Linked DNA regions of Astyanax mexicanus. The protein of the gene in region 1 purifies or fractionates together with the protein of each later gene. This does not show direct contact. Links are inferred from orthologs where the notes say so. Each region holds a gene or a part of one and is shown on either strand. Other genes may lie near its edges.

What was found.
Region 2: the proteins of dkc1 (region 1) and naf1 purify together in Homo sapiens (co-immunoprecipitation; 7 studies listed by BioGRID and IntAct, counting the BioPlex papers as one, with this or other methods). This does not show direct contact. The link is inferred for Astyanax mexicanus from reciprocal best matches to the Homo sapiens genes DKC1 and NAF1.

What each region holds. Positions count from the first base shown.
Region 1 is NC_064424.1:18,990,883-19,006,155, forward strand, and holds the start of dkc1 (H/ACA ribonucleoprotein complex subunit DKC1), read left to right. Parts: upstream 1-8,122; 5' UTR 8,123-8,173; coding exon 8,174-8,189; intron 8,190-9,992; coding exon 9,993-10,051; intron 10,052-10,830; coding exon 10,831-10,917; intron 10,918-10,968; exon of another isoform or gene 10,969-11,180; intron 11,181-11,338; coding exon 11,339-11,430; intron 11,431-11,470; exon of another isoform or gene 11,471-11,550; intron 11,551-11,627; coding exon 11,628-11,812; intron 11,813-11,944; coding exon 11,945-12,009; intron 12,010-12,745; exon of another isoform or gene 12,746-12,954; intron 12,955-13,040; coding exon 13,041-13,167; intron 13,168-13,226; exon of another isoform or gene 13,227-13,302; intron 13,303-13,390; coding exon 13,391-13,521; intron 13,522-14,668; exon of another isoform or gene 14,669-14,803; intron 14,804-14,891; coding exon 14,892-15,035; intron 15,036-15,192; coding exon 15,193-15,273. Other genes in the region: tmlhe (trimethyllysine dioxygenase, mitochondrial), read left to right, coding at 1,960-2,196, 2,713-2,851, 2,955-3,086.
Region 2 is NC_064409.1:7,204,489-7,220,715, forward strand, and holds the start of naf1 (H/ACA ribonucleoprotein complex non-core subunit NAF1), read left to right. Parts: upstream 1-9,301; 5' UTR 9,302-9,396; coding exon 9,397-9,435; intron 9,436-10,932; coding exon 10,933-11,321; intron 11,322-12,277; coding exon 12,278-12,443; intron 12,444-13,108; coding exon 13,109-13,202; intron 13,203-13,368; coding exon 13,369-13,451; intron 13,452-13,624; coding exon 13,625-13,785; intron 13,786-13,987; coding exon 13,988-14,039; intron 14,040-15,022; coding exon 15,023-15,119; intron 15,120-16,227. Other genes in the region: ttc41 (putative tetratricopeptide repeat protein 41), read left to right, coding at 1-13, 587-758, 1,332-1,465, 2,160-2,287, 2,937-3,120, 3,264-3,414, 4,546-4,698, 5,711-5,847 and 2 more. UniProt on the Homo sapiens protein: RNA-binding protein required for the maturation of box H/ACA snoRNPs complex and ribosome biogenesis.

The DNA.
Region 1 (15,273 bases):
GAAAAGAAAAAACACTTCTTACTGCTGAATAGTTTGAGGCGTTAGCTGTGCTTTCATTCCCATGCAGTATAGATGCACTCAGTGAACCCCTGTTTTCTTAGGCTTGCAGCAGTATGCTTTGCTATGTCCTGAGGCAGGGATGAAATCTAGTCCTTTGCGGTTTGTAGATTTTCCTAGTCAAATGCTCATGATCCAGTTAATTGCCTGGATTACGGACAACAGTTCACCACCTCTGCCCTCAGGCCAGTGCTACACCACATTGGTCACGTCTCCATTCTAGTTTTGCAGACAAAAAAACACTCAGTGGAGTGAATTATAGACCTACTGCTCTGCCTCCCAGCAGACACTGGTCTTTCCCAGCTTGGGGGTTTTGTAGAGATGTGTGTTACGTCATTATAAGAACCCCCCTAAGAGCAGTAATAAATCTTGGCTATGCAAACATTGTCATGGTTTGAGAGTTTGGTATAGTAAACATAACAGCAATGTTATAGTCTTTTAATATTAACCTAAAGGGCCTATATCTCTCATATATTCTACTTTGCAAATTAATTTTCTATATATTGTATATATGAAGCTTATTTAACTTTGAAAATGAAAGGACACATTCTATAGAAAAAATCAAATCATATCACATTTATCTACTATAAAACAGTTCGCCTCAAAAGCAGACAAACAGAAACATATCAGCATATCAGTCCAGAATGTGTACACAAACACACACACACACACACACTATATAAGATGTTATAACATATGAAACACGCTAAAAAAGAGTACTTAAATTAAGTACATTGAGTACAATATGTATTAGTATAAAAAGTATTTTTTCCAAATTATGTTTTTATTTCAGTATTTATCTGCAGCACATCTTATCTAAAGTGTGTGGCTAAATGATTCATATTAACACAAAGATCGAATCTGTTGATTGTAAACATTAAGAGATAAGAAGGCCAAATTCCCTAGAAGGGTTGTGACATCATGGCTGTAGCTAGGAAACATGACTAGAAGCAGCATGTTCCTTCTGAAAGAAAAATCAATAATGGTGATAATAGATGGTAAATAGGCATAAGGTGCTGCAGCTGATTAATGAGCATTTCCTGAGCTGTTTGCCAGGGCTTTCTCTCTTTATCTGTGATATAATGAGGTATCTGCAATGATATACAATAAAGATAAAGACAGAAAGAGTAGTTGTAAACAGATAAACAATATAAAATCTACTAAAAAATAATGTACACACTGAATTATGTATTCCTACCCTTTTTAGCTAAAACAGTTGATTATTTTGTGGCATTGCCATTTTACCTGGTTGCCAAAGCACACATTTACTGAAATTTAAAATACTGCACCTTATAGATTAGAATGGCATTATCTAAAGCGTGTGTGTGTGTGTGTGTGTGTGTGTGTATATATATATATATATATATATATATATATATATATATATATATGCACAGCTCTGGAAAAAAATAAGAGACCACTCAAAATTATGAGTTTCTTTTTGATTTTCCCAAACTGAAGATGGATGATCACAAGCCATCAAACCAAGCTGAACTGCTTGAATTTTTGCACCAGGAGTTGTTGAAAGTTATCCAAAAGCTTTGTTAGAAGTTTGTTAGACTGGTGGAGAAGAACATGCCAAGAGGATTAAAAACAGGGTTATTCCACCAAATATTGATTTCTGAACTCTTAAAAATGTATGAATATGAACTTGTTTTCTTTGCATTATTTGAGGTCATATTCTGCAAATACATATGCCTATGAAAAGCAAAATCAGAGAAACTGAAGTGATCTCTTATTTTTTTTTTTCTAGAGCTGTGTATATGTTAAATGCATTTCAATAGCTCAGTACCTGTACTCTGAACAATGACAAAAAAGTTGAATCTAATAACACTGTAGATTTTTTCTGTCCATTTCTGTGCATCACTTACACTCTTTTTACCCTCTCTGGCTTCATGGTAGGATCCAGGTGTTCCACTGTCTAAGGCATGAGGGCACAGGCGGCAGAACTCTGTTGGTGGATGGATTTAACGCTGCTGACAAAGTGCTCCAGCAATCACCTGAGAACTTTGAGCTTCTCTCACGCGTCCCCATCAAACACGAGTACATCGAGAACCAAGGCCACCACCGAAACCACATGATCGGCATCGGCCCTGTTCTGAACGTCTATCCTTGGAACAATGAAGTCTACATGATCCGGTAGGCAAAACTTGTACTGACTACTCAAGCTCTCTCTTTGTAGAAATAGTCTCAAGCTGTATTCAGATAAGATGGGACATGGAAAAGTGAAATAAATTATAACACAGATTTTAAAAAATGTGGCTTAAATGAGATGGGAGTAGCTACTCGATTTGCACACTATCATCGAATCATCAAATGACTTGCCTACTTAAAGCTGCAAGAGAGTTGTTGGCTTGTCTTCTGGATTTGACAAAATTGATTCTGTAAATCTTTACTGGTGCAGGAGTTCACAGTTAGTAAAAAGGCATGACATGGTGCATTCATTGTTAAGTTGTTGATGCATGGGTTCTTGATGTGGGAAAGCAATGCTGTTATGTCCACCAGCAAATACAAATGTTGTTTAAGGCTGATTTGAAGCACTAAAATGAGCTTCTGCACGTAGCACTGCTCTAGCTGGTCTGTGTTTTTTGACTGAGATATTCAATAGTTTATGCTGTGATAATGATATTGTCATAATGCCTCTTTGTTGTTTAGGTATAATAACTATGACCGTGCAACGATGAACACGGTTCCTCACAACGTGGTGCAGCGCTGGTATGTCGCCCACAGACAGCTAACTACTGAGCTGAGGAAGCCTGAGAACGAGCTGTGGGTCAAACTTAAACCTGGCAAGGTAAGCAAGCAAGATTTTTTACTTGTGAGCTACATTAGTAGCTAGATTAGGCTTTGGCTTTTGTGTAAAACTAAAGAAGCAAAATCTTTTTCTATCTGTTTAGGTTCTTTTCATTGATAACTGGAGAGTGCTGCATGGTAGAGAGTCCTTCACTGGGCTCCGCCAGCTCTGTGGCTGTTATCTGACCAGAGACGACGTGCTCAACACAGCCCGCTCCCTCGGCCTTCAGGCTTGAACAGCAAACAGCTAACACTAGGACACACCAAAGGATAACGGAAATAGCATTAGCGTAATCGGTACAGATCAGTCATATCCTTTATACATGTTTTGTGCATTTAAATCAAAGGTTAAGAACTTTTAGAGGGTCTGTCTCTCTGGTGGCCTTAAATGTCACGGCTACTTTGGGCCTTAATGAAATGTGTATGACAGGCTTTGGTCAAAATAGCACAAGAAAGAAGCACCACATCAACCATTTACAACCCTGTTTAGAACAGCGGTTTTGAGTGCCTCTATCTTTAAATGATAATAGACCACCGTTATTCCAACCTCCCCCACCGTTTTTCCATATTTATCACTCTTCTCTGCTACACGGATTCTTAGACTTTTAAGTTTATTTTTCTAGTTTAAGTTTTATTTTTTCCAACATTTACTGAAAATTAAGCTTTTTGAAAAGGTGGACATTTTCGAAAACCCTCTTTTCAGTGTTGTCTTGTAAATGAAGAAAACAGAGCTTTTTAAGAACAATTCTTGCTGAATATCAAATACTGTACACTCCCTACGTAGTGAAGTATATAAGGAAAATAAAACTACATTTGTATGTACAGATAGTTAAAGACTTCTGATTTTTACATGAATAATTGTCAGTTTTGTTCAATTACAAATGTATAATTCTTTATTGAAATGACGGTACTATAGTCCACTTCAATACTATAGTACCAGGGAGTAGTGTATGATTTAGGATTAAACCTTTATGTGTTCTTTTTTCATTATGGTCTTTTAAGATCTATCTTCTCTCTATGTGGTGCTATGCATCCAATTTTCATCTTCATGTTCTGCTTTTTGTCATCAATTTTTGGTATACACTTATAGAAAAAATTTAGAAACCACTTCAGTTTCTGAATCAGTTTTGCTGATTTTGCTTTTTATAGCTATATGTCTGAGTAAAATCACCATTGTTGTTTTATTCTATAAACTAAAGACAACATTTCTCCCAAATTCCAAATTAAAATATTATCATTTAGAGCATTTATTTGCAGAAAATGAGAAATTACTGAAATACCAAAAAAGACGCAGAGCTCCCAGACCTCAAATTATGCAAAGACAACAGAAACATTCATATTCATAAAGTTTAAGAGTTCAGAAATCTATATTTGGTGGAATAACTGTGAAATTTAATTACAGTTTTCATGCATCTTGGCATGTTCTCCTCCACCAGTCTTACACACTGCTTTTGGATAACTATATGCCACTCCTGATGCAAAAAGTCAAGCAGTTCAGCTTGGTTTGATGTCTTGTGATCATCCATCTTCCTCTTGATTATATTCCAGAGGTTTTTAATTTGGTAAAATAAAAAAACACATCATTTTTAAGTGGTCTCTTATTTTTTTCCAGAGCTGTATATTTTCAGAATAGCCAAAAGAAGTCACACCCTATGAACTGACAGTTGCTTTTTGTTTTCTTTTGTTTTGTATCTGTTTGTTAGTTTTTTATCTTTTGAAACTCTACCTTCTCAAAGTAAGTGGGTGGAGCTATTATGGTTGGGGTGGTGTAATTATAATCAGATGGCCAGCGACGTAGCAACTGTGACAATTTTGAATGGCATGTTGAATACATATTTTTATCTCCTACATGTCCCACAAAATGAAAATTTTTGACTGTACAATTTCACAGTTTGTGCGTTGGTAGGCATTCCAGATACCCAATGTGTGTGCTTAAATGTATGTTTTTCTGTAATATTCCCTAATAAGGAATAAGGAACCTTTTTTTTTTATTTTATCGCCAGTCATGTCAGACGTTAGTTGGAATGTGTAAGGGATGAAAAATAATAACACCAGGAGGTAAAATGTGAACAAATGTCTTAATAATAATCCTAATATTGAAATGGAACAAGCTTATGAATCAGTGTGAACAGGAAGCTGATGATTTGAAGTTCTTGGGGATCAGTCATCATCATCATCATCAGAGGAGGAGGAGGAGGAGGAGTTTATTTCCTGTGCTGCTGAACCAGACCCTGTTCTTTAACTGATAACAGAACAGGCAGCAGATTTAATGGAGATTACTTCAATGTGGGAGTGATCAGCATTCCTCCACCTTTGACCATGTTGTGATTTAACCTCAAGTAACTTATTGTCAGTGGCAGCGTATTGCTTATATTTCACTAAAGACTAGCTTATATTTCACTAAAGACTATAGTCCAGTTGTCCAGTATGCGGTCAGAATAGTATATAATAGAATTTTATAAATATTTGTAGCTATTTAGAATGCAAAACGTGGCCAAAATAAATCTGTTTTCTTCAGCATTTTCTTAATTCATATGTTTTCCCCTTACAGCTATCTTAAATATCATCTTAGATATGCTTAAGATTGCTGGTCCAAAGTTCACAGATATGAAAGCGCATAGGTTTCAGAACAAAACAACACTTAATTGTTTAATTATTGTATAATAAATTGAGCACTATAAAATACACATCCACCAATTGTACAAAATGTCAATTAGTCAAATAATTCTTGCTATAATACAATGCGCTGACATGGTACAGTTCATGGTTCAGTGTCTAGTATTGTGTCCCATGACTTTTGTCATGTCTAGCCAGTGTTCAGCTTCACTCAAAACTTATGCAGGTGTGACCTTTCCCAAGCTGTTGTCTGTGGTAACACTTCAATTTACATTCTGTTTTCCCATAACTTTTGTCTTGTCAGTGTAAAAATTACATTTCTTAACACAGGTTTAAAGAGTGCTAGCTAGCTAGGTTTCACTATTAAATTAAATTAAATACTGTTAAATTAAAAAACGATCATTTGAGCGACAGTTTAATTAATTGCCGCTTTTTGCAGTTTGGTGATTTTAATAAAAATACAATCAGTTGTGCTGCTCTGTGATCAGGCACTTGCTTACAGACATTTTAAGCAGTTCTTATTTCCATGTTCCATAATGTAAAATGGTTGTGAGGTCTGTTGTTGACACAGAATTTGGGATACATATACAGGGTGAGCAAAGGAAACTGTGAAGAGCAAAGTCAATGTTTTTGGTAATGTCACGATGTGTTGTACAGATAACAGGTACGATCCCAAATTGCTGAAGAATAATAGGCAGTTTGTACATTTGAAGGTCTGTTTGCTGCAGGCATTTTATTTTTACTGTATTTTTACTGTAGTGTAAAAAAATGATTGTACACACAACTAAAGCCTCAAAACCACCCCATGCAAATAAATATATTTTACAGCTTGCATACATTGTTGTTGTTTTTTTTCGTTTGTCTTGTCTAACTGTCATTACATCTCCTATTATTGGGGAAATGTTGATCATGTATATATAATATTCATTGTTCATTGTACACTTATTTCAGGACTCCCCCTGGTGGCCGGAGAGACTCAGAACAGATTCTGAACAGAAGTGGGTTTACTCCTCTCCAGTGATTTTTCTGAAGATTTGATTGGTGCATTTAATTTTCTATCTAGTTAAAGTGGCAGTCCGTATTATTGTGTTTCTAAACTGAAAGCAGAAGCATTTCTGAGTGGTGAAGGGATAAAATATTGTGTTTAATGGTACCAGTGTGCTGGAATGATCATCCCTGCTAAGCCTAATATATTAATTCTTAAAACTGGGCTGTCGGGTCACTTTTCGCAGAAGTTCTTCTGACCATGTCACGCATCTTTACGTCACATTCACAGCCTCTAAAAGAGGATCCGGCTCAGTTTTACTGAACGCGAGTGGCTGGTGGAGCAATGGCGACTTCAGAAGGGGAAATCAGAGCTCAGTAGCTCATTTACCCAGAGTAAAACCAAAGAAACGAAGAAGTGAAGTTTCTTACTAAGCACGCTCTCTCTCTCTGACTGAACATAACCTGGAATCGGATTCATCCGCTCTGAAAGGAGACCTCATCACACCCGACCAGTTTAAAATGATTCTTCCGCATGCTCGGTACAATTACCCATTCTCACCAGAGAGGGCCCTAAATCCCAAAACTTACAGACATCACCTTTAATTTGATTGGAGGATTGCTATGCAGGTGTTGTGGTGTTTTAGTATGGTTGGTTTGATGTTTTTGTGAGTTTTTGAGGACTCACCATCATGATGTAAATACATGCGGATATCGTATCTTATAAAGTCCACATCTCTCATTGCAGTTTGTGCAGGCAGGCAGTCACAACTGTACACTGGGAAAGTTACACTAGAAGAATTGTTTATTTCTCCTAGCATGTGTCTGAAATTTGCATGGTAAATTAGGGTTCCTTCCTTTTTTTTTTTTGCTTTTAGACACATTTTACTAAATATAAGATTTCTTACAACTGCAGTCAATTTTACCGGCATATCATTCTGACGAGCCGTTTAATGAGTTACTCAGCTAGTGGCAGTTGTCAACAAGTCACAGTTGCTTCAACCACTATCATGCCTTATATAGCCTCCGTCTCCCAGTGTAGTCTGTTTGGATAGCTGTGTCACTACTGTACACTTGGAAAAGTATTATGATCTTAATGGTTGCGTACTCATAGCATATAGCATGCATATTGTTCCTTTATAGCCCCCCCTCTCCCACTGAAGTACACTGGACTGCGTCTTAAATCATAGCTGTTGTCCAATCTGAAGGCAGCTGCATTAGTAGCATTCAATTTCATGTTATTTTGTTTGTATTGTTTTGTGTAAAAGTTTTGACATAAAATTATCTTGAACATGGTGTGACTGGTGAAATAATACTTGGCCCTTCTATAAATATTGTGGCCCCTTACTCAGAAAAATCCTAGATCCTCTTCTGGATGCAGCACATAAGAACGTATTAGATTAAAAGTGTTACATTAATTGAAAATATGTAGTGAGAAAAAGTGGAAGCAGGAGAAACAAATAATACCAGAGTAAATACGGATACTTCAGATATTTAGATATAAAATTCTAGTACTTAAGTACAATAAAGATGTACTTCGTTTATATACATCAACATTAAGCAGCTTTATCTCTCGGCATGTGTCTCCACCTGCTGCCCAAGCATTGTATAAAAACGTTTTTCCTTCTTATCGCGAGATTAGGCAGAATTATCCCGCGAGACTTGGGTCTCTGTGAGAGTCTTCACACGTGCTGGTCTGGTCTTCGGCGGGCAGCAGGGGAAGATGGCGGACGGAGAAAGTGGGTGCAGTGTTGAACTCTGTGTTTTATATTATTTCTAAAGCTTTTTTTGTGTTGTATAGCTTCGTTTGTGAGTTTCTGCATCTTTAGGACGCGGTTAATATGTTTTAGCTTTGTGTAAAGCTTAGTAAATAGATAGTTAGACCTCTGAAGGTAGAGAAAATGAAGAGCAGGGTGGCGCAGCTGCAGGGGAGATTGAGATTTGGGGAGCTAGCTGCAGTTTTAAAGACTCTTTGCTTGAGCAGAATTAGTAGCTTATGTCATTTAATGGAGCTAAAATGCTTTTAAAGTTGTTTAAATGTTTTAGATTGTTTGTATTTTGAAGCTTAGCTTAGTTTGAAGGTTACTTTAGCTCACTGAGGTGCATGACTTGGCCGACTTTTACCAGCAAAACTCTTTAGCTTAGCTGTGTAAAAGCCTGGTAGCTTGACTTTAACTCGTGTTAGTTCTATATTTTATTTCATCGCTTTATTTTATGGTATTTTGCAAAGATAACTAGCGTAGTATTTTTCACCTACTAACACCCGGTTAGAGAACTTGGCGTTAGCTAGGCTAGATTAGCTTGGCTAACTGCCTACATTTTCCCCAGTAAGTTAGTCATCAAAATTAAATTGACAAACCTAGCTTAATGCATTTTTAACGTGTCAGTGATAATGCCGTATTAAGGATGATTATTAGTTTAGAGAGAATATTTATTAAATTAGTCTTGGAAATTATTTTAGCTAGCTAGCTTGGGTTTGTGCACCACGTGTTGTCTGCGTTCGCCACGTGGGTGCTGTACCACCAAGGCACTAAATCGCTACAATTTGTTAACTAAGTTACCTATTAATACATTGCATGTTTAGTACAGTTGGTTGTTTTCTATTCCAAAATTTGAACATTCCTGAATAATTTATATTGTGTAGCTGGGGTAGAAAATGAAAGTATTAAATAGTTAAAAACCTAAGGGCTACTGAATTTGCAATGTTAACACAGCTTTTTTTTTTTTTTTTTACATGAAGCTGTAAAGAAAATGCTGAAGCATTGTGCTTTGTTTTTTTGTCGTTTTTAATTTAAATTGATTGCTCTCTTATAAGTGTTAATGTTGTGAATTTATTTTTCTTAATATGGATTGCACAATCCAGTTAATTAGCTAGTTAACTCATCTAGAAGAAACTTAACCATTTAACGTTACCTAGTCTCTTGAAACGTGGTCAGTGTTTCTGAGTGGTTAAGGCTAAATGGAAAATTGAGTGTAATTTTTTATGTAGTGCAGTGTAATTTTTCCAATTCGTTTTCTGGAAAAATGAAAACTAATCTGTTTTTTATTTTCAGATTTTTCCATTTTGGAAAGAGACAAAAATGGTCAAATGAGAATAAAGAAAAGATTTTCATTTTTCTTGAAATTCTGTTTGGGAAAGGCTGAAATTAAAAAACTAGATAGTAAAAAAAAAATGTATGAAAATCAATTTCTTCTTTTTCAAACTGATACAGCCTGACGTATTTGTTTTATGTCGAAAAAGGACTAAGCAAGTGCTGGCTGTGCTACTATAGTTGGCCACTACTAGCTGCTTTACTTTTAAAACATTTAAGATATTTCTCTTTAGTTTTATTAGCTTTAATGTTATACCAAGGTGGCTAGACTCTGTAAATTATAAATAATTATACTGACAGGTATACACGTGAGAGAGACACTGGATTTAACCCAGAATTCACATGTCTGGGTAGGTAGACAACATTTTTAGGTTTAGGCAGTAGAGCTCAAGTCCTTTGGTAATATCTCGCTGAATGTGCTTGTTTTAATAGTTGTTTTTTCCTTCACAGTTGGATCAGCTAAGAAGGAGAAGAAGAAGAAGTCAAAGATTTCCAATGATGAAATTGGGGTAATTTGACAATTTGATCAACCATTATACTGTTAATACTTTTGTTATCTAAAGTCAGAGTATTAGGTTGGACTAACCAATCTCACACCAGCTTGTTTGATATCTTTTATTGCTGACTTTTTATGCTATTTTTTATTGTAACTAAACCAAATGGGGAATTAAATCTGTAAAGAATTTCAAACAGTTAAATAATTACCAACCTAGACAGCTAGCTAAGGTTTCAGTTATATTGTCTAAACACGACAGCTGTTCTGTTCCAATTATTTCATTTAGCAGAGCTAAGCTTCGTAATTTTGTTTGTAAAATCACCCAGCAGTAATGTTAAAGACTGGTGTAGAGTATGCCAAGATATAAAATCTGTCACATCAAGGATAATCATTCAAATACAGTTTTTGTACTTTTTTTTTTTTTAATGTAAAGTTCACTGAAAGGCAGAACATTAGCATTGTTTAAATGTGAATATTAGCTTGACTTTGCATTTTTCAGTCTGAAAGCATTGAATGAAATTTTTATGTGGAATCTGGGAGATGGGTAATTTATGAATAAAACAATGTGCTAAAACCACATGCCTATAAACAGTAAATCTAGAGAACTTCATATCCCAATCACCCCCAGAAAAAACAAATGAGCAGTTTTAGACTAGTACTTGTTGTACTTAACACCTCAGCAGATATTTTTTGTTAAGTACTTGCTCTTAGATAATATGCCAGGGAGAGACATTGCATGTTTTTGTTTCTTGTCACATTGATCATGTGTTTTGCTTTGTGTTTGGCCCTCAGGAGATCCAAGAAACTGGCGATTTCCTCATTAAACCTGAATCCAAAGTTGCCAAGCTTGACACCTCTCAATGGCCTTTACTATTGAAGGTAACTGTTCCTCTTAAATTCCTAAGTCTTCCTTCATGGCCAACTCAGCAGGTGACATGATGAACGTGTTTATCCATTCTCTGAGTGCTGCCGGCTCTGTCTCTCTGCGGCTTCTGCTGTCCGTTCTGGGCTGCAGGGTTACGGTTGCCTGTTTATCCTCTGCTGGTTCAGTGTTCTACTGGAGCAGTGGTGGGATGTTCAGAACAGCCGGTGTGGGGAGATCAGACCAGCGCCAACAAAGACGAGCGGACTGTTCTGATCACCACTTTTAGATTTTTAGAGAATATTAACGCTAATATCCCTTTAAATCATAAATATTGATTAAGATTTAAAATAAATAACTATGCAAGCTAAGTTTTTAGTACTTGTTTGTTCTTGTTTGATTATCTTTTAATGTTTTTTGTTTTGTTTTGTCATCTAGAACTTCGACAAGCTGAACATAAGGACGGCACATTACACACCTCTGCCACACGGCTCAAACCCACTGAAGAGAAACATTCACGATTATGTCCGGTAAGCTGATATAAGGCTAACAGGCAGCACATTCAAAATAGCCACATGATGATCTTATATAGATTGCATTAGCATTCTGTGCAAAGATGACCATCTATCTATCACCCAAGACTGATGGCTTATAGTAAAATTAAAATATATATATTTTTTATTTGAGCTGGTAGAAGTACTTTAAAATCTTACGTTTCTGTGTTCAGGTCTGGCTTTATTAATCTGGACAAACCAGCTAACCCTTCCTCTCATGAAGTGGTTGCCTGGATCAAACGAATCCTGCGTGTGGAGAAGACCGGCCACAGCGGCACCCTGGACCCGAAGGTCACAGGCTGCCTGATTGTGTGTGTTGACCGAGCCACACGACTTGTCAAGTCTCAACAGAGCGCTGGTAAGTTAGTCTTTTTTTTTTTTGTTCTTTTTTTTCTATGAATTTCTGTTTAGTTGGTTTTGTGATTAGTGAGTCTGACCTCACCCAGTGAAACCAGTGGCCTCTCCTTACTACTCTTGCCGTGTGTTTCAGGCAAAGAGTATGTGGGAATAGTACGGCTGCACAATGCAATAGAAAATGAGCATCAGCTTGCAAGGGTAAGTGAGAGCGTATGTGTTGAATGTAAAATAACACCTGTTTGTTGATGTTAAGGACTAACCGGGAAACAAATTGGAACTTTATTTAAATTTAAAATATATTATACATTGTTTTAATGACTAACACTATGTTTCTGGTGGTGTTTTTTTGGTTATCAGTGCTTAAAGAACACTGATCAACTTTGTCTTGTTTTTTTTTTCTATTGGCCTCATTTTATCCATCAGTATTAGTCAAACAATGGGAGAGTAATAGATTAGTATCTTTAAATTGATATTTGTCTTGTATTGACCACCCATTAATGTTTTGTATGTAAAAGATTTAGTTCTGTCTCTAAAATTTGCATTATACAAATTAGTTCATTTAAAGTATTGTCAGTTAAAAATTTAAACCTTCATACTTTTGGGCACCTTAGTCTAAAATAACCGTATTTGGGGGGGCTGTATTAATGGATAGATTAAAAATATATATTTACTGGGATTGTTTACATGCACTGTGGTTTTGAACTGAAACAAGAATACAGATAGCATAGCCATTTTATTAAACCACTACAGTTCCCGCTGTTTTTTTGAAATGTTCTTTTTACCTATGCATATTAATCGGTTTATGTTGGTGTATATAAGCATATAAAAGCTGAGGTCATTGAAGTGAACAATTGCTATTTGGTGCAAACTACAAAGACTGTAAGCTTGTGTTCCAGCTGTGGTGTATTTATTTATATATGACCAAATGCAGTATGTAAAATGATGAACCTGTTTATCCATTCTCTGAGTGTCTCCAGGCCCTCCTCTCTATCGCCAGAGCTCTCACCTGTTCTAGGTTTGAGTTCTGGCTCTGCCGGCCTCCTCTTCTCTGCTTCAGTGTTCTACTGTTGCAGGTGATGCTGGAGGCCCATGCAGGTTTGGAGGGCCAGAGTTCACCAAAGACGAGTTGACGGGACTGATTGCATATCTGCATATCTGTTATGAATGACTGATTGCAAAGGTTCAGTGAAATTAAATTTTGACAGGATTTTGCTTGTTTTGGTCTCTAGGCTTTGGAATGCCTTACTGGAGCTCTCTTCCAGAGGCCTCCTCTCATAGCTGCAGTGAAGCGACAGCTCCGAGTTAGGACCATCTATGAAAGCAAGCTGATTGAGTATGACCCGGAGAGACGACTTGGTATGAACTTTGTTTCTTCATCTTCTTGCTAAGATGATACTGTTTACTCTTTTTAAAAAGCCACATGATGTGAAACAGATTGCAATAGCACACGTGCAAAGATGACTTACTATCTATCACCCTAGACTGATGGCTTTTATGTATTTTATGCACACTTTTTCCAGCTGTCTGACCAAGAGCAACCACCACTAAGCTCTGACTGTTTTTATGGTTGACAATGCAGGTATTTTCTGGGTAAGCTGTGAGGCAGGCACCTATATCAGAACGCTGTGTGTTCACCTTGGTCTGCTGCTGGGAGTGGGTGGCCAGATGCAGGAGCTCAGGAGGGTTCGCTCTGGAGTGTTGGGTGAGAAGGTACGTTACAGATTTAAAATTTTACAAGTTACTTGTGTGGTATTTTTTGTAAAATCAAAGACTGCAGCCCAGCTATGTAATGTGTGGATGTTTACCTATTTATACCTATTTTAATGGTCCTAGTATATTTTTTTTATATATATATTTTTCCCCCTCCATATTATTGAAATGCTCATTGATAGTTGTAGCTTGTTACAAAGAACATGCTTGCCCCTTAAATGTTCCAGTGACTTTTACAATTTATTTTAATTAAATTATCAAAGGTCTTGACTCTTGTATATGATTTGTTTTTCAAGAAAAAAAAAAAAGAAAACCTCTTACCTGTGAAGTTCCTATTGATTATATACAGCTTACTTTAGCTAAAAGAGCTTCATATTTGGAAACAAAAATTATATATCAGATAATAGCAAAAAAAAAAAGGCATTGAGCTAAATTGTAAAAAGGCAGATAAATTTGAGACCTTCATGATTAAATTGTTTTGCATATAGTTAGATGCTTATTGTAAATGCACAGTGATCAAATAGTTTCATTGTCAATACTGCATATATGCAGGACATACGGAGGATTAAAATTAAGTTACTCTCCTTCCCAAAGTTGCTACAAGTACAGCAAGATAAAAATCTAAATATAAAAGAATGAGAGTAAGTACAATACAACAAGGTTACAGATAGACACACGTGAGACACAAGACAATAGTGCAATAGTGATGAGTGCACTAAAAAGGAAATGACAGTTTATTTTGACCTTCAGCCAAAAGTTTTTTTTTTTTTTCAGATTTCAGTCAAATTTCCATTTTTTGCGTCCCCAGTTTTGTTACTCTGGATGTGTATATCAGGGTTATTGGGCTAGCTCCAATTGCTCTGCTTTTTCTCCACACATTCAGACCTTTGCATAGTATCAAAATGAAAAATAAAACGTTTTTACTAGCTTACATTAATGAAAAAATACCAGCCGAATTTCATCCTCCTGGTGGTAAAGCCAGCAGGAAGATTATTAAGGTGCTTTAAATGGTTCTTTAAACAGTGTTGTAGAAGCTCCATTGGTTCTGTTTTTTTTTTTTTTTTTTTTTTTTTTTTTTTTTATAATGGAGATGTGTGAATGTGTAAATTCTTGAATCTTTGTTTGTGATTGCTATTATTATGCATCTGACCAAAGTGTTGAGTTCAGCTCTGGGCTCCCTCCCCAGTGCTGGTAATTATTCTTTGGTACAGAATATGGCTAAGTGAACTCTGAATCTGAAGTAGCTTGAATTAGCTGCTTCACCATATCTTGGCCAACAGTCTCTACCCTCAAGCCGGTTTTTAAATATGTCCGATTTAACATATCTTAACAGATTCTAATTTCTAATTTAATGAATTCCTTTCTGACAGGACTGCATGGTGACCATGCATGATGTTTTAGATGCCCAGTGGCAGTTTGACCACAACAAAGATGAGACCTACCTGAGGAGAGTCATCTATCCTTTGGAGAAGCTGCTCATTAGTCACAAGAGAATTGTGATGAAGGACAGTGCAGTAAGTGATTTTCTGTGTATTTTAAACTACTTTGTTGTCTAAATGGAAAAAAAAAAATCTGATTTTGTATTCAACCTTAAACTCTCAAAATTGTATAAAGAAACATTACTTCTTTATGAAGACATGACCGGTTTTTAACTTCCCTCTTTTCTTATAGGTGAATGCTATCTGCTATGGTGCTAAGATCATGTTGCCAGGTGTTTTACGGTATGAAGATGGCATTGAGATGAACCAAGAC
Region 2 (16,227 bases), on another chromosome or scaffold:
CTGCTGTTGCTGGGTAAGTATAGATCCATGATGCCAACATACTGTAATTGTCCAAGAAAAAAGATTAATATGTTGGTTTTGTTGGCTATATATTTCTGTACTCTAGTTTGAACACTTGTTAGAAGTTACCAAATCTGTAGTTTGACCTTGGCTGCTGGAGCCCTGAGAGAGTACAATTGGGCTTGCTCTCTCTGGGTGGGTAGATCACTCTCTTTCCCCACATTATTTCAATGGGTGATGTCGATAAGCACAAGGCATCTGTGAGCTGATGTATCAGAACCGAGTCGTTGCGCTTTTCTTCCGAGCACACTGGCTACTCAGTTCGAAAAGAGGTGGTGGTTGGCTTCACATGTATTAGAAGAGGCATGGGCTAGTCTTTACCCTCCTAGTGTTGGGGCATTATTAGTGTTAGGGTGACTTCTAATAAGTGGGTTGGATAATTGGCCATGTAAATTGTGGAGAAAATGGGATAAGTAACAGAAATAAATGTATTAAAAACCTGCAGACTTTAGCTTCAAGCGTACAAGTTTATATGCCGTAGAAACTGTGGTATTTTATGTATTATGCTCTTTTCATGTGTATTCAGGTGTTGCAGACAAACAGAAAAGCCGGAGCGACTTCCATCATATCATTGCTGAGTTCTTCCAAAAGCGCAGTAAGGGACTTTGTGGCTGGCTAAGGAAGCTGGAGGAACTACCCTGGCATCTGGCACAAACTGGCTCCTTTAAGGAGCTATATAGTGTCCTCTCTGACCCAGAGTAAGGCTTAAGTTAATTTATTTTTATTACATTAAATATTTAGACAATAACTAAACAATGCTTTAAAGAACTGAAGAAAATAATGTAATTAGCTTTTTAGAGAAAACAATTGGATAAGTAAGTCTGTGTTGCCTAAGTGAGCATTTGTTTTCAATCTTGGGCCACTCGTTCAAGATTCTGGGAGATTTTATCTGACTTGCGGGCATCAGGGAGCCGTTATTGATATGCGGTAGACTTCCGCGAGACTTGGGACATCTGCTTATTCATTGTGAGGACTTTTTTGTGTAGTTCTTACTGAGCTGAAGCAGTTTTGTAATGGACAGGAAACATAAAGACATTTACTAAAAAGGTGTCATCAGTTGTCCCTGGCACTGTATACGGTGTAGTAAATCATTACATTCTTAAAAGAAAATCTACCACAATGTACACAAAAGTATTTTAAGCAATATACTGTATTATGACTGTTACACTCAGGGTAGACAAATAAGGTCAGATAAGCAGGAGATTTTATACTCGACACTGCATTGATGTTAATCAGCATGTACAGATAACGTATCACCATATTTTCCACAGAGCTGTGTGTATCCTGTCGAGCAGTGTGAGGCAGTACCCACAGCTGAGGCTTGATCTTGTTCGTTATTGGACGCTGCTGAGCCAAAGAGAGTATGACCCCGTCTCTTCACTCCAGAGACCAACTGTACTGAATGGTCAGAACAGAGTCAGAGATGTTGTCACTTTTATTTAAATAATTTAAAATGTATTTATGTAAGTAAAAAAAAAGTGCTCAGATGATCCGGTATAACGCTACTTTAGTCCTGTGGAGGAGTGGAGGGGGAGAAACGATAGGATTTTGACTTTTGCTCATGCATATTCATATATGCAAACATATCAATCGCCCTTTGATTGGCTAACAGCACTGTGACACATGCAAGACGGACAACAGTTTGAAACATTTAAAATAAAGACATTTTTTAATTTTTACAACATGTGTAATGCTCTGCTAAGTGCAGTTCAGCCTTTGATCTAGTCTTAGAGTAAACCTATTTTAACCTATAGTTACTTACACACAGAGGTGCGTAGTCCAGGTCCAGAAAGAAAGAAATCGACTCGTTATATACAACTCAGAGAGACCTACTGTATTTCACAAAGTACAAGAAAAAGTTGATTTTAGTGATAGGACACCTTTATATAAATGGTCTTTAGTCCAAAAAGCTTCACTCTAGGGACTGTTGTGGCACCACTGTAAGAGTAGGCCCTTTTCAATAGTTATTTATTTAATTATTTATTTATTTTCTAACCAAATTAATAAGATTAAGTTAATTCAAAATCATGACTTAAGTTGGTATTATTTGATCTACTGAAGATACTACTGATGGAACATTGTTTTCTATTTGATCTTAGGTTGTGGTAAGCGAGATCTTGGCAGTAGGGTTAAGTTAGCCCTTTTCTCCTTTGACCTTCTGCTCGGTTTGGGAAAGCCTGAAGAAGCTGGGAAAATACTGTCAGAAGCAGAAACTGTCCTTCAACAGGTGAGATTTTCTATTTGTTTTGCAATATATTAAAATTGTACATGGACATATACAGACAGGTGAGACAGGTGAGACTGTGTTTTGGAAGAATAGTGTTTCAACCATTAGTTTTTACTAATACTAATACTTAGAATTTCTATGCTTTATGTTTTTAAATTTGTCACCCTCAAATTTGAATGAGCACCATAGGCCACATTTTGTCTGTAACTATAAAGGTTTTCTCCCACAACACATTTCAGAAATCTTTCTGATATTGTGTATTTTTTTAAATAATTTTTAGATTAAATTTGAGATTTGTTCCCATTTTCTCCCCAATTTACTTGGCCAATTACCCAACCCACTCATTAGGACTCCCCCTATCAATAGTAAAGTAAGGTGAAGGCTCCTCCACTACATGTAAAGTCACCACCTCTTTTTGAACTGCTGCTGAGGCAGCATTGCCAAGTAGCATCACAGTGCGCATGAAGGGAAAGCGCAGCGACGCGGTTCTTATACGTTAGCTCACAGATGCCTTGTGCTGATCGACATCACCCTTTGGAGTGTTGTAGGGAGAGAGTGCCATCTACCCACCTCTCAGGGCTCTGGCAGCTGATGGCAATGCTTAGCTGGACAACTGGGAGCCCCTCTGATATTGTTATTGATGTTGCAGGCAGATGAGCTGGATGAAGACAGCGTGAGATCACTGCTGGAAGTGCAGAACATGCTGGCTAAGTTCTATTTCTACATGCAGCAGCTGGACGAGGCAGAGCTGTACAGCAGTAAAGGCTTAAAAACAGCAGACATCCTTACAGTTTCCAGTTCTTCTCATTCAGAGAACATCAGGATGATAAAAGGTAGCAGATGCAGGATCTGTCAGTCTGCAGTAAAGCATAACTGTGGATATACAGTTTGTATAGTGTTTGTGTATTGTGTTATGGATGTTACAGTAATATGTGTGTAGATGTGCTCATCTGTATTTATGTTTGTTCTTTTTCAGGGCAGTTTCTGTGTTTTCTGTCTCAGATAGAGCTGAAAAGAGGCTGTTTGTATACAGTTCCTGGACTTTTAAAGGAAATCAGCAGTACTGGCCTCAAGTGCATTCACCCATGTGCTGAAGCTACTGTTACTTTACTGCAAGGCCTATACAAGTACGTGATTATATGCAACAATACGTAGATCAACTGCAGACTGTTTATTTTAATAATTCCTGACAGTAACATTATTAGTAAGTCATTGTTAGCCCATTGTAATTCAGGAACAGTGGTAGTATTATATGGTCAGGAACAACTACCAAAGGCACAAGCCTGCTATATACTCAAGCCCAGGAACACTGTACCAACTGTAAAGCATGGTGGTGGACGCATCATGACACAAAGTGGATACAAAATTTATGAAGAAGACTGCTCTAGACAATTTTAGACTACCCCATCATTGAAACATGGATGCTGCCGGCTGTTCCGGCACATCAGAGGGTTTGTGAAAAAAAAATAAAGCAGGCTAGCTTTAAGCTTTTACAAAAAGTTTTACTTTTATTTAAAACTACCCAAAGTCCTAACCTTAACCCAAATGAAAGTATGTGGACAGCGTGTTAAAGTGTTAAAGAAGGTCTATGCCTGGAAACCAATAATTATTGCTGGATTTAACATATTAAATTAGAAAACACACATATAACGTGACACATTTAAGTTTGCATTTTTGTTAAAATTAAACAAACTAACACTTATTTTGAATAATGTTTTTATATTTGATTTAGTCACATTTTTGTTTCATAATAAGTTCAAAAGACAAAATTGTACATAACAGAGAGAAATTATAACCCAAACACACCCAGAAAAGGAAGAAAAAAGGGGGAAAAATAATAATAAAGCAAAAGCAGGGCTGATGATAACTACAAAATAATAATAATAATAATAATAATAAAAACGAAATTAAATCCCAATAGTCATACAATTATACACAAAATAAAGAATAATAACAATAATAAAATGAATAGATAAATAATAATAACTATAGTAATTTAATAGTAATTTATTATTGGATCCCAAATCTGTTTAGTGTAAACGCTCTATAGAGACACTTATTTTGAATTTAAAAAACGTGTGGTCTGAAGACAATAATCTAATCTAAATCTAACAACATCTAATTTGACAAAGGGTCCCCTAGTACAAAACAGAAATAGTGCTTTCAAACATTTAAAGATTTTATGTTGGAAGAAAAAAATCAACATATTATAGATAAATGTTTGGAATTTATGAGGTATAAATGTTTTTTATGTGCAGATTTGCTGTTGGCGAGCTGAGTGCAGCTGAGAGCTGTGTGGAGGCGGTTTTGGCCAGTAGGAGGCGCTGGTATGGCACTGAACATCCCCTGGTTGCAGCAGTGGAGGAGCAGCTGGCCGACATTTGGTCTGACAGCAACCACACTGACAAAGAGTGAGAGATCCAGGAGATTATATGCATACATCAGTGTTACTTATCCCACTGCTAACAGTTTACAAAAAATGGGATTAGATCATGGAGCTTCATCTGGACACAGACTGAAAAACACTGATATATAAAATATTTCATTAATACTATAAAATTCAAATATTTATTAAAATGTTTTAAATATTTATATTTATTTCCACAGGGTTCTATTTTGGGCCCTATACAACTGATGCTAATTATGATAGCAATGTAAATTTGATAGTGTTGAAGTATGGGCTTACATACAGAGGCATTGGACCCTATATGTTGTTATTTATAATTATATTAATACATTTCATTCTAATATTGTTCTGTTCTATTTATCTATTATTCATTTTTATTTTATGATTTCATTGTATATGACTGTTTGTCATCATCCTTAAGAGTTAAAAAGGTAGTTTTGTAATTGTGCTCTGTTTTAATTGGTTGGAAAACTGAGACTCTGATTTTGCTGTCTATAGGTTTATGTTTGAGTAAAAGGAACATTATTCTATAAACTACAAACAACATTTCTCCTAAATTCAAAATAAAATTATTGTCATTTAGAGCATTTATCTGCAGAAAATGAGAAATGGCTGAAATAACAAAAACGATGCAGAGCTTTCAGACCTCAAATAATGCAAAGAAAACAAGTTCATATTCATAAAGTTTTAAGAGTTCAGAAATCAATATTTGGTGAAATAACCCTGATTTTGTATCACAGTTTTCATGCATATTGGCATGTTCTCCTCCACCAGTCTTACACACTGCTTTTGGATAACTTTATGCCTGCACTCCTGGTGAAAAAACTCAAGCAGTTCAGTTTGGTTTGATGGCTTTTGATCATCCATCTTCCTCTTAATTATATTCCAGAGTTTTTTTTTATTTGGTAAAATGAACAAAAACAATCGTTTTTAAGTGATCCCATTTTTCCAGAGCTGTATATATATATATCTATGTAGAATGTTGTAAAATGATCTTTTTTCATGTTTTCCTGTAGCTGGACTCAGAGGAAGGCCACTGAATTGTTTCGTCATGTCATCCATGTCAGAGAAAGAGTGATTAAGAGCTGGGGGATGACCTCCTTCCTGTCCAGGCCCATGCTGCAGGACCTCACCAACACTCTGCTTAAACTCGGTGAGTGAAAAAAGGGGCTGGTGTGGTTATATGCTACAAAGCCAAGTGATTTTAACTGGATACAATGCAGCATATTGTTAAAAAAACATATATTGTTCTAAGTATTTAATTTTTTTATTATTACCCGGAGAGATTGATTATAATATATGGGAATAGTGGCCGGGATTGGCTGTGGCAATGCAATGCAATGTGAAAAAACAAAGAATACAGTTTTGCAGACTTATGTTGCCTCCAGTGGTTCACTGACCTTGTTCTTTCTCCAGGTAAAGTGTTAATGCAGAGCTCCTGTGCGGCTGAAAGGAGAGAAGCTCTGAGTTTACTGCAGAGAGCTACTGACCTGACTCACCTTCTCAACGCTGGCCACCCACTCTCCAGACACAGGCAACAGTAAACCCATTCATTATGTATTATATTGATTGTACTATATGCTGTTGTAAGTACTGAACTTGTTGCTAGATGTAATAGAACCATTATAACATGGTAAAAGCTTTTGTAGGTCTGAAATATAGGAATGAATGTATATTAAGAAATGAAATTAAGTTGCCAAAGAAATTTTTTTATTTTAAGTTGCCAAAGAAAAGTTTTTATTCTTGTTTACTGTCTTCAACTTTGACTGAAAAATATGTGGGGCTGTCATATTCAGAAATGTTCCATATTGCAAGGTGAAATATATATTTGTCTTCTCTTTCTATCCCCAAACTTCATGATTTGGACTCTGCATTGCACCACACTGGATTGGACAAATGATGATTTTACCATAAATCAAATTTTCGTTCATTTTTAATACTCTATTTAGAATCATTTGCAGGCAATGACTGCCAGAAGTCTGGAACTCATGGATATGTTCACCAAACACTGGGTTTTCCTCCCTTATGATACTTTGTTAAGCCTTTACTGCAGCTGTCTTCAGTTGTTCTTGGTCAGTGGGTCTTTCTACCTTTTATTTTGTCTTAAGTGAGTGAAATGCATGTGTCCAATTACTTTTGAGCCCCTGAAATGAGGAGGCTTTGGATAAAAATGGTTGTAAATTTCTAATGCTTTATAGAATATTATTATTCAGCCCCTCGAATTAGACCAGAAAGTCTACACTTTAGTTGCATCTCAGCTCAAATCATAATAATTGAGTCACTGTCCAATTATTTTTGGACCTAAATGTATCTAATTTACATAATTCATCTATTACCAACAAATGTAGCTTATCAGCGGAGCCATGTTTGGTGAACTTTTAGAGTTTTAATGTTCCATAACTTAAATTAAAAGTAAGAAATATTAATTTTTCATTTCTTGTCTTTTTCTCAGTGTCTTTAACACAGATATTTCAGTAGTTAAGAAGCGACTGGACACCCCAGCAGCTTCCAGATCAAGAGCTTGTTTAACCAGTAGACTCCTCACTAAATCCCCCCTGCTTCATCAGTCTAGACTGACCTCTACACAACCTGGACCTGCCACAGCACCTCTGGAGCCAAAGCAGAACATAGAGAAAACCCTCACCCGGCCCTGGACAACATTTCAGACCAGTGTGTTCGGGCCTCAGAGTGATATCAGGACTCTGGTACCCAGAGAAGAGGTGTGTGGGTCCAGGAAAATCTCATCTAAGGAGGGGTCTGATAAGAGGCCTGACCGCTGCCGTGTCCAGGAGGAAGCAGTGAAGGCACTGAATAGACAAATGGGAATGTATGTTTACAGGAAATCAGCACGTTAGGACTGCATTGCATTTCTTGTTTATTCACATGATTTAAAATCTGATTCAATGATGCAATTAACTGATTGGTGTGCAGTTTGACAAATTTCGGGCAATTTTGTATATAGTTTAGACCAAATATTTAGCATTTATTTTATGATTTATAATGACCTATTACATTTTTTACAGACTCTAAACAAAAAATATTTATATATATATACTGCATACAGTACTAGATACACATTTAATGTGTTTTCTTTCTTTTTATGATTTTTTAAAATTGTAAATGTAACGAGATTTGCACACTCATTGGCTTCATGAGGTAGAGTAAAGTCACCTAAAGTATTTTTTTCATCATCTTGGGTTTAGATCAGGGGATTGTGGAGGCTGAACACCTTTTTTGTTTAGTCCATAATTCCTTATGTGTCCCTAAATTACTTTCATGTCTTTAATATTTGAATCTACAATAGAGAAATAAATGACTTAAATTAATGAAATAAAGAAAACATTGAATAAGAAGTAGTGTGTCCAAACTTTTAACTGGTGCTGTATTTGAATGCAAAATATATAAAAAAATACAATTTAATAACCTGTTTATTGCATAAATTTTAATATTTAGATGCAGAATTGGTTATTGTTGTAAAATAAACTGTTTTGTATTGGTAAAAGAGGCGCAGCGCCCTCTGCTGGGCGGATTATTGTGTAGTTACTGCTGATGCTGGTTCTGAGCTCTAGAGGGCGCTGGACTATTTTACACTGCCTTAAAGTACTCTGATAGATTCTGCATGCACTGTAGGTGCGTGATGGAGAAGTGAGAGACTGAAGAAGAGACATCATTGAATACTTTTAAGATCATCCGACAGGAGTTTGCCGGTCAGGAACCATAAATATTTCATAAAAGTAGCAATAAAAATAAATATATATTTATTTCAGTCACTGACAGCATGTTTTACACTATGCGAATAGACAAAATCAGTGGATTTTAGAGGTTTGACTGTAATATCTGCAATAAACTAGTGTTGCTGGGTTATACAGTTTTTATACATATATGGCCAAATTTAATTGTGTAAATTTAGATTTTTAAACCCCTGCTCTTTGCAGAAAAAATACTACATTTCAAAAATGTTATGACAGATTGGCCAATCCATTTAATTTAATAAAATGTAATTAATTTAATTAATAAAAGGAAGCTATTTCTCTCTGTAGGTGCGAACTGGGCTGGAGCTGGGTATATTTTGGGGATTTTTTATTTTATGGTATTTTATGATCCACCTCTATCTGCTGCCTCTCAAATCGGTAATGGACACTTTTGACACCTATAGGGTACAAAAACACAAGCAATGGAATTCAGTTGAACAAAAACTTTATTTTATAACATAAATGCATAAAAAAAAAACCTAGACATAAAATGCATAAAATGATAAATGAGCTAAAATACCCGAGTATATTAATATTTTTTATTCACTCACTGCAGACAGAACAAAAAAAGCGTTCTAGTAATCTGCGAATGCTTTCGCAGGTTTTTAACTGATGATGTTCTATTTAGGTGTAAAAGACGTGAAAATATTTTAAATAATATATTAATAATTATCACAATATAATAATTATAATAATATATGTCCACCACGAACACCGACACCCATCTCTTATTATTTTAAATAATATATTTTAACATCATATCGTGAGTTTAAATATAAAGTTACCTTGTTTTAAGGAAACGACTGAAGAGAATATGGTGACTTTTATTTTGAAATAAATATTGTCTCCGGAAGCTGCGCGCTTGAAAGCGTGTTTGTGCCACATGTGTGACTAGCATGCCTGAGTGTTTCTGAATCCAGCTTCAGTCAACAGCCCGAAAATAAGACAGTATGGAGAGTTTAACCGGGGAGGATCTCACAGACACACAGGTACCGGATCTAAATCAGTTTTCTCTGAAAGTTAGACTTCAGTAATGTGTTCAGTGTTTAAACCTGTAGAGTTTAGCTTATCAGAACTACTGTTACTAATCTACTACAGTGTGAACTGCTACTGAGTCTGTTTCGTTTTTACAATTACCATCGCTTACTTCAATTAGGCTGGTTTGATTTTTATATAGATTAGAAAACTGAATAAAAAACACAAACAGCTACTATCTAAGTTCAGAGAACACCACCCACCCAGTCCAGTTGTAAAGTGTTGTGCTTACAGCTGTACTACTAGCTAATTGGCAAATTGACAAACGTGGTAAACTCTAGATACAAGTAGCTACATTCATTACAGTAATTTAGTAGCTTGTATGTGGTTTGGGACGCAGCCAGGACTTGTGGAGGGAGGAATTAGGTGGATCAGGTAGACTGGATTAGGGTTGGAGGTGAAGTCTGCAGGAACCTAGATCTCTGTGTGAGATTAGTGCCATGGGGCATATAGATTCTCAGCTCTGATCCTGGAAGTGAAGACCTCATGCCCTGCATAGTTTAGTATGTTGCTTGTTTTTAACACACCAGCTAGAGTGTATTGTTGTTTGCTGTGTTACACCTTTATGCTGTCTGTCCTATTAAAGAAAATCTACTCCAGACATATTATATCTGTCCTGTATCATTTATTTACTTAATTGCTGGATAAACAGTTCTGGAATAAATTAGGAGACCACTTCAGTTTCTGAATAAGATTCTCTGATTTTGTTATTTATAGGTTTATGTTTGACTACAATGAACATTGTTGTTTTATTCTATAAACTACAGACAACATTTCTCCCAAATAAAAAAAAAACATTATTTAAAGAATTTATTTGCAGAAAAAGGAAGTTCATGTTCATAAAGTTTTAAGAGTTCAGAAATCAATATTTGGTGCAATAACCCTGGTTTTTAATCACAGCCAAGATCTTGGCATCATGTTCTCCTCCACCAGTCTTACACACTGCTTTTGGATAACTTTATGCCTTTACTCCTGGTGCAAAAATTCAGGCAGTTCAGTTTGGTTTGATGGCTTGTGATCATCCATCTTCTTCTTGATTATATTCCAGCGGTTTTCAACTATTAGTGTTTGATCGTTGTCTTCTGTTACAATCTAGTGAAAATCTCAATTTGGGGTGTGCCATTTTATATTGTAAGCAATAACACTAAAAAATTAAATATATATCTAGAATATCATTATCGAAAAATACCCTGGAATATTGTAATATTATTTTAGGGCCATATTGCCCACCCCTAATGTCAACACAAAATAAATCTCTACTGATTAAAGCTGGTAGTTAACAGTTAAATCGGGTGTGCTGGATTAAGTAGGTCTTCATCCCTACAGGACTAGAGTTGCCCCATTTCTGATTTAGTGAATTAACCACTCTTTTTTTTTTTGCTTGTAAATATATAAATATATTTTTTAACATCCTAACATCTTTCCTGTATGTGTTATTCACTATTTTTCAGCCACAAGCAGATATGCCGGTGGATGCACCTGTACATGTTAATCCATCAGCGGGAGAAGACAGTAGCTGTGCTACAGAAAAACAAAGCCCTAAATTTGTACCTGTGGATCACAATCTACATGAACATAAGAAGCCAGAAACTGACAGTGCTACAGAACAATGCTCACTAAAGAACCCTGATGCTGTACCTGATGCAGCTACAGCAGAGGCTGACTCACAGAAAAATGAACCCATGGACATAATAGTATCTGACCTGAAAGAAGAACCATGTTCTGGCTCTTGTAACGAGGCTGTGGGTGAAGCCACAGTGAGTCCCATCAGCGGTGGAGGATCTTTGACTTTGTTAAGCCAGCAGTACAGAGATGACAGCTCTGAAGATCTCTCAGACAGGTATAAAACACACAAAACACTTAAATTATACATCATAACGAGCTTACTGTACTTACTGTACTTATAAAAACTGCACGGACTCACTAATTCACACTAGTAGATCCTGTATACAGTGTTTTTTAATGGTTTATAAAGAACAATCTTCAAGAGGTTTTAACTGTGTATGAACTTTGTAACCTGACATAGTTATTTACACATTCTGTTTTTAAAATTATTTATTTTTATCTCTTGCTTCATTACTGCCTGGCCAAAAAATCGCCACCAAAAAAAAAAGGTCCCACCTTTAGCTTTGATTGCAGCACACATTCACTGCGGCATTGTTTTAATAAGCTTCTGCAATGTCATAAGATTTTTTTAAATCCAGTGTTGCTGGATTAATTTTTCACCAAGATCTTGCAGCAGCATTGATGATGGTAGAGTCTGACCACTGCACAAAGCAGCTCTTCTCCATCCAGCACATCCCAAAGATTCTCAATGAGGTTAAGATCTGGACTCTGTGGTGAACTCTCTCAATCCATGTGTAAAAACGATGATCTCATGCTCCCTGAACCCTGAACTCTTTCACAATTCCAGCACCATGAATCCTGACATTTTTTATCATCTTGGAATATGGCCGTGTTCATCAGGGGGAAAAAAATCCATTGATGGAATAACCTGGTCTATATTCAGGTAGTCAGCTGACCTCATTCTTTCAGCACATACTGTTGCTGAACCTAAACCTGCAGACCAACTTCAGCATCAACCAACCAACCCCACATAATTTACTTACTTAAATCCAGGTGGAGACTTTTTTGGGGCTGGGCAGTGTATATAGAATCATTAGTTTTATGGAAAAAAAATGGCACCTAAACTTTTATATATATATATATATATATATCAGCCATATTTTGAGTATACAGACAAATCTGCTGTTTCATGTTCTATCGATTTTTGTGAGAGACTTTTTTCCTTTTCAGTGACTCAGACTCTTCTTCATCTTCATCCTCCTCATCTTCCTCTTCCTCATCTGGAGTCATTTGCTCAGTGTTGAATGAGATTGATCAAGACGATGACCAAGAAAATAATCTTGCTCCTGGGAAGAGGCCACCACCAGTCAAGACACAGGATGAGCTGCTGATTGAGGTGAGGTCATTGTTGTTTTACTGTGGTTAACTGCACTACCTCACACACTACACACACACACACATACATTAAAAGGCTCTACTTTTATACTTTATTTTTATTTTATTATAATCTGTATCATGTTATCTGATCTTTTTTGTAATTTCTCTCTGGCATCAATAAAGTATCAATAAATTATCTATCTCTGACACTTCAATTGCAGCGGAGACATACATAAATATATAAAATAGAGAAATAGACACTGGGGTAATAAACAAATACTAATAATATTCAGTTTCAGTTTTAATTCTACTTTAATTTTAATTCTAACAGCTGTACAATGTGTGTTGCTAAACTCTATGTAGACATATGGACTATGGTGTTATTAGTTAACTCTAACTAAGAGGGTCTAAAGTGCTGCCACTATGATCAGGAGATTGCCGATTTGAATCCCAGTCATGCAGCTTGCACCTTTCTCTCTCCGGTTGGGTAGATGGCGCTTTTTTCTCTCATCACTCCTAGGGTGATGGCGATCAGCACGAGTCGTCTGTGAGCTGATGTGTTGCTGCGCTTTCCTCCGAGCATGCTGTGAAGCTACTCGGGGATATACAGCTGACTTGTAGCTGACTGGGTAGGACAATTGGTCTTGTTAAACTCTTACTGATGTCCGTCCTGTTTGTGTGTAGGATCTCCCTGCAGTGGAAAATCTGAACATCAGCCTTCCTGAGGACACACAGATTGAGCCCATTGGAACTGTTTCAAGCATCATAGATCAACTAGGTATTCTTACTGTGGCATTCAAAGTACCAATCAAACCATTGTTTAATGGATCAATGTATAATTTTATTTGTAATTGTGTAGGAAGAGATAACAAATGATTAATTTAATATATCAGTCATATAAAGTAATATATTGCTGTTGTTTTGATTTTTGTATTGCTTGGTAGTAATTGTTGAATCAATGAAAGACTCACAACCCCTGAATGAAGACAGTGTCCTATTCAACAAAGACAGGACAGCTATTGGGAAGGTGAGTCCTCAGCATGCTTCAGATATTTCATATTCTTAGTGTTTTTAGGATTAGAATTGCTCTCTTTCTGATCTACATTCATTGTGACTTTAATCGTGTGTTGAGTTACTGTCTTTGTAGCTGAGTAGTCAGTAGTGTGTCTCTTGTGTCCTTTTTTTTGTTTGTTTCTATAGGTGTTTGAGGTCTTTGGTCCAGTTTTCCAGCCTTACTACATCTTAAGGTTCAACTCTCACGAAGACATTGAACAGAAGAACTTGAAAGTAGGGGAGACGATTTTCTTCGCTCCAAATATCAAAGATTTCACAGACTACATCTTTACTGAGCAGCTGAACAAGTGAGTAATCCGTCATTTCTGAATATTTGGACATGGCTCTCAGTCAGTCATATTTACTCGGATGTAAAGACTCAAGGATAAACTACTACCACTTAAATACCTTATGTTGGTGTTTTGCTTATGTTAGCTTTAGCATTTGATCACAAACAGCAGTCTGTTTTTGCTCTTATTGATGAATATTCTGTTTTTTTTCTTGCTGTAGATTTAAAGGATCAGATGCTTCTTGGAAGAATGATCAGGAGCCTCCCCCAGAGGTAAATGTGTTGCTTTAATGATCTGCCATTCTGTAAATATTTTGACATTTATCAATCAGGTTTTACGATGCTGCTCATTGTCAGCATTTATGGCTACGTTCACATTATCAGGCTGAAGTGACTTAAATCAGATTTTTTGCTTAGATTTTTTTAAAAATCATTTTTGAGTCACTTTTAATATGTGGTCCAAAATTGGATACATATCCAATCCAATTGACATGAGACATAATTATGAACGGTCAAAACTGAATTCATGCGTTTTTTTTTTTTTACAATCATGTGCTACGTGCTTCTCTCTCGTACCCACACATCTCTTGGTGCAGCTGTGCAGCTATATAGCTGCAAAAAAACAGCAAAAGCAAACCACCTGGCCTTTTTTCACCTCCTCAACCTGAGCATGAACTTCAGAGCAGCTGTTTACTCTCCACTCCAGCACAAGATGCTCCACATATCAGCTGCTAACAAACAAATCAATTTCCCTTTATAAAGCTACAAGTTTTCTCTCGAATATGAGATTTATTTTGTTGTTAGTGAACACACAGATTACACACAGATACAGGTCACTTACATATGTGAATGTATACCGTCAAGGTAGCCAAAGCCGATCTGAGGAAAAAATCGGATTTGAGCAATGTGGTTTTTAATGTGAGCGTAGCCTAAGTTTTCAACTGATCTTGGAAGTACCATTTTTGTTCTTTAGTAGCAATTTTAGGCTTGCAATCTGCCTATACCATCAATAATGCTGTTTGTAGATTGACTATAATTATATTGTGATTGCAGCTTTGACCTAATGTAATTGCAACCAATGACTAGATAATTTGTACCAGACAGCTATGAACCCCAATCAGTGGAGATTGGGACTGAAGTTTGCTTCCCTGCTGAGTAGTGTGTGAATGAGTTAATAGGGCGTGTGTTTCCTGTGGAGATTGCTGATTTGGGTTTATTGTGTTAATGGTGGTGTGTTGGTCTGTGTTGGTTTGCAGGCTCTGGACTTCAGTGATGATGAAGAGGAGAAAGTGGCCAAGCAGAAGCTGAAGCAGCAGAGGAGACAGAGGCAAGGCCGAGAAGAGTCGGACTCCGGTCAGTCACAGCACCAAACACTGCTCTGTGCCTCGTAGGGATGGGCGATTTATAGCCCTAAAATAATATCACGATATTTCATGGTATTTTTATGAGTGATATGACAAAAAACTGAATAAAAAAGACATTTCAAATATCTCCATATATCCAGGACTAAAATAAAATAAATGATACTGGCAGAGGTGGAAAGTAACTAATTAGATTTACTCACATTACTGTAATTGAGTAGATTTTATGAGTAATTTGTAATTTAAGTAGTTTTTAAATTAGGTAATTTCACTTTTACTCAAGTTCATTTTAAAACAAGTATTTTACTTCGCTACTTTGGAAAACTCCCCATTTTTGAGTAAAAAAATAAAATGCTGGGGAAAAAAAAAACCATTGTTTTAATAAAAAAAAAAAATTGAGTTTTGTTCTCCATGTTCGCACAGCTGAACTTTTCCCAGCAGTGTTTATTATTATGGTTAGCGGGAGAGACGCTGTGTCGAGTTATGCTACCCATCGATATGAGCTTCTTTACGGCACTGCTCATGCGCCCACCAACAGTTTTTTTTTTTTTTTTTTTTTTTTTGTGATTTCATAGCAATGGCAAGTAAAAAAAACTGTAAAACTATAAAAATACAGTTTATAGTCACATATATGACCATAACCTTGGGTTGGTCTGAACAAATACTGCCTGAAAGGTCAAAATTATTTAATTAAATAATTATTTCATTTATGATTTGTTGTTTTTACATCAAATAAATTAAAGTAACTATGTAACTTTTACTCAAAGTACATTTTAAATTGAGTACTTTTTTACTTTTACTCGAGTAGATTTTTAGATGGGTACTTTTACTAAATTACAATTTTTCAATACTTTTTCCAATACTTTTTCCATACTGGACAGATTTAATCTGTCTCTAGTAGCTATATAAAGGGAAATGAGAAAAGTTAGAATTTTTCCTTTTCTAAAAACGACAAAAAAAAAAAAACACTTCTAATTACATCATGTATCAAACATGCCTTTTTACTACTTTTATCTCCTGTAAGACAGATTTACCATCATTTTTGTGATAAAATTTATTGCTTAATTGCTTCTACTTCTTTTTAGTCAAATAACATGTTT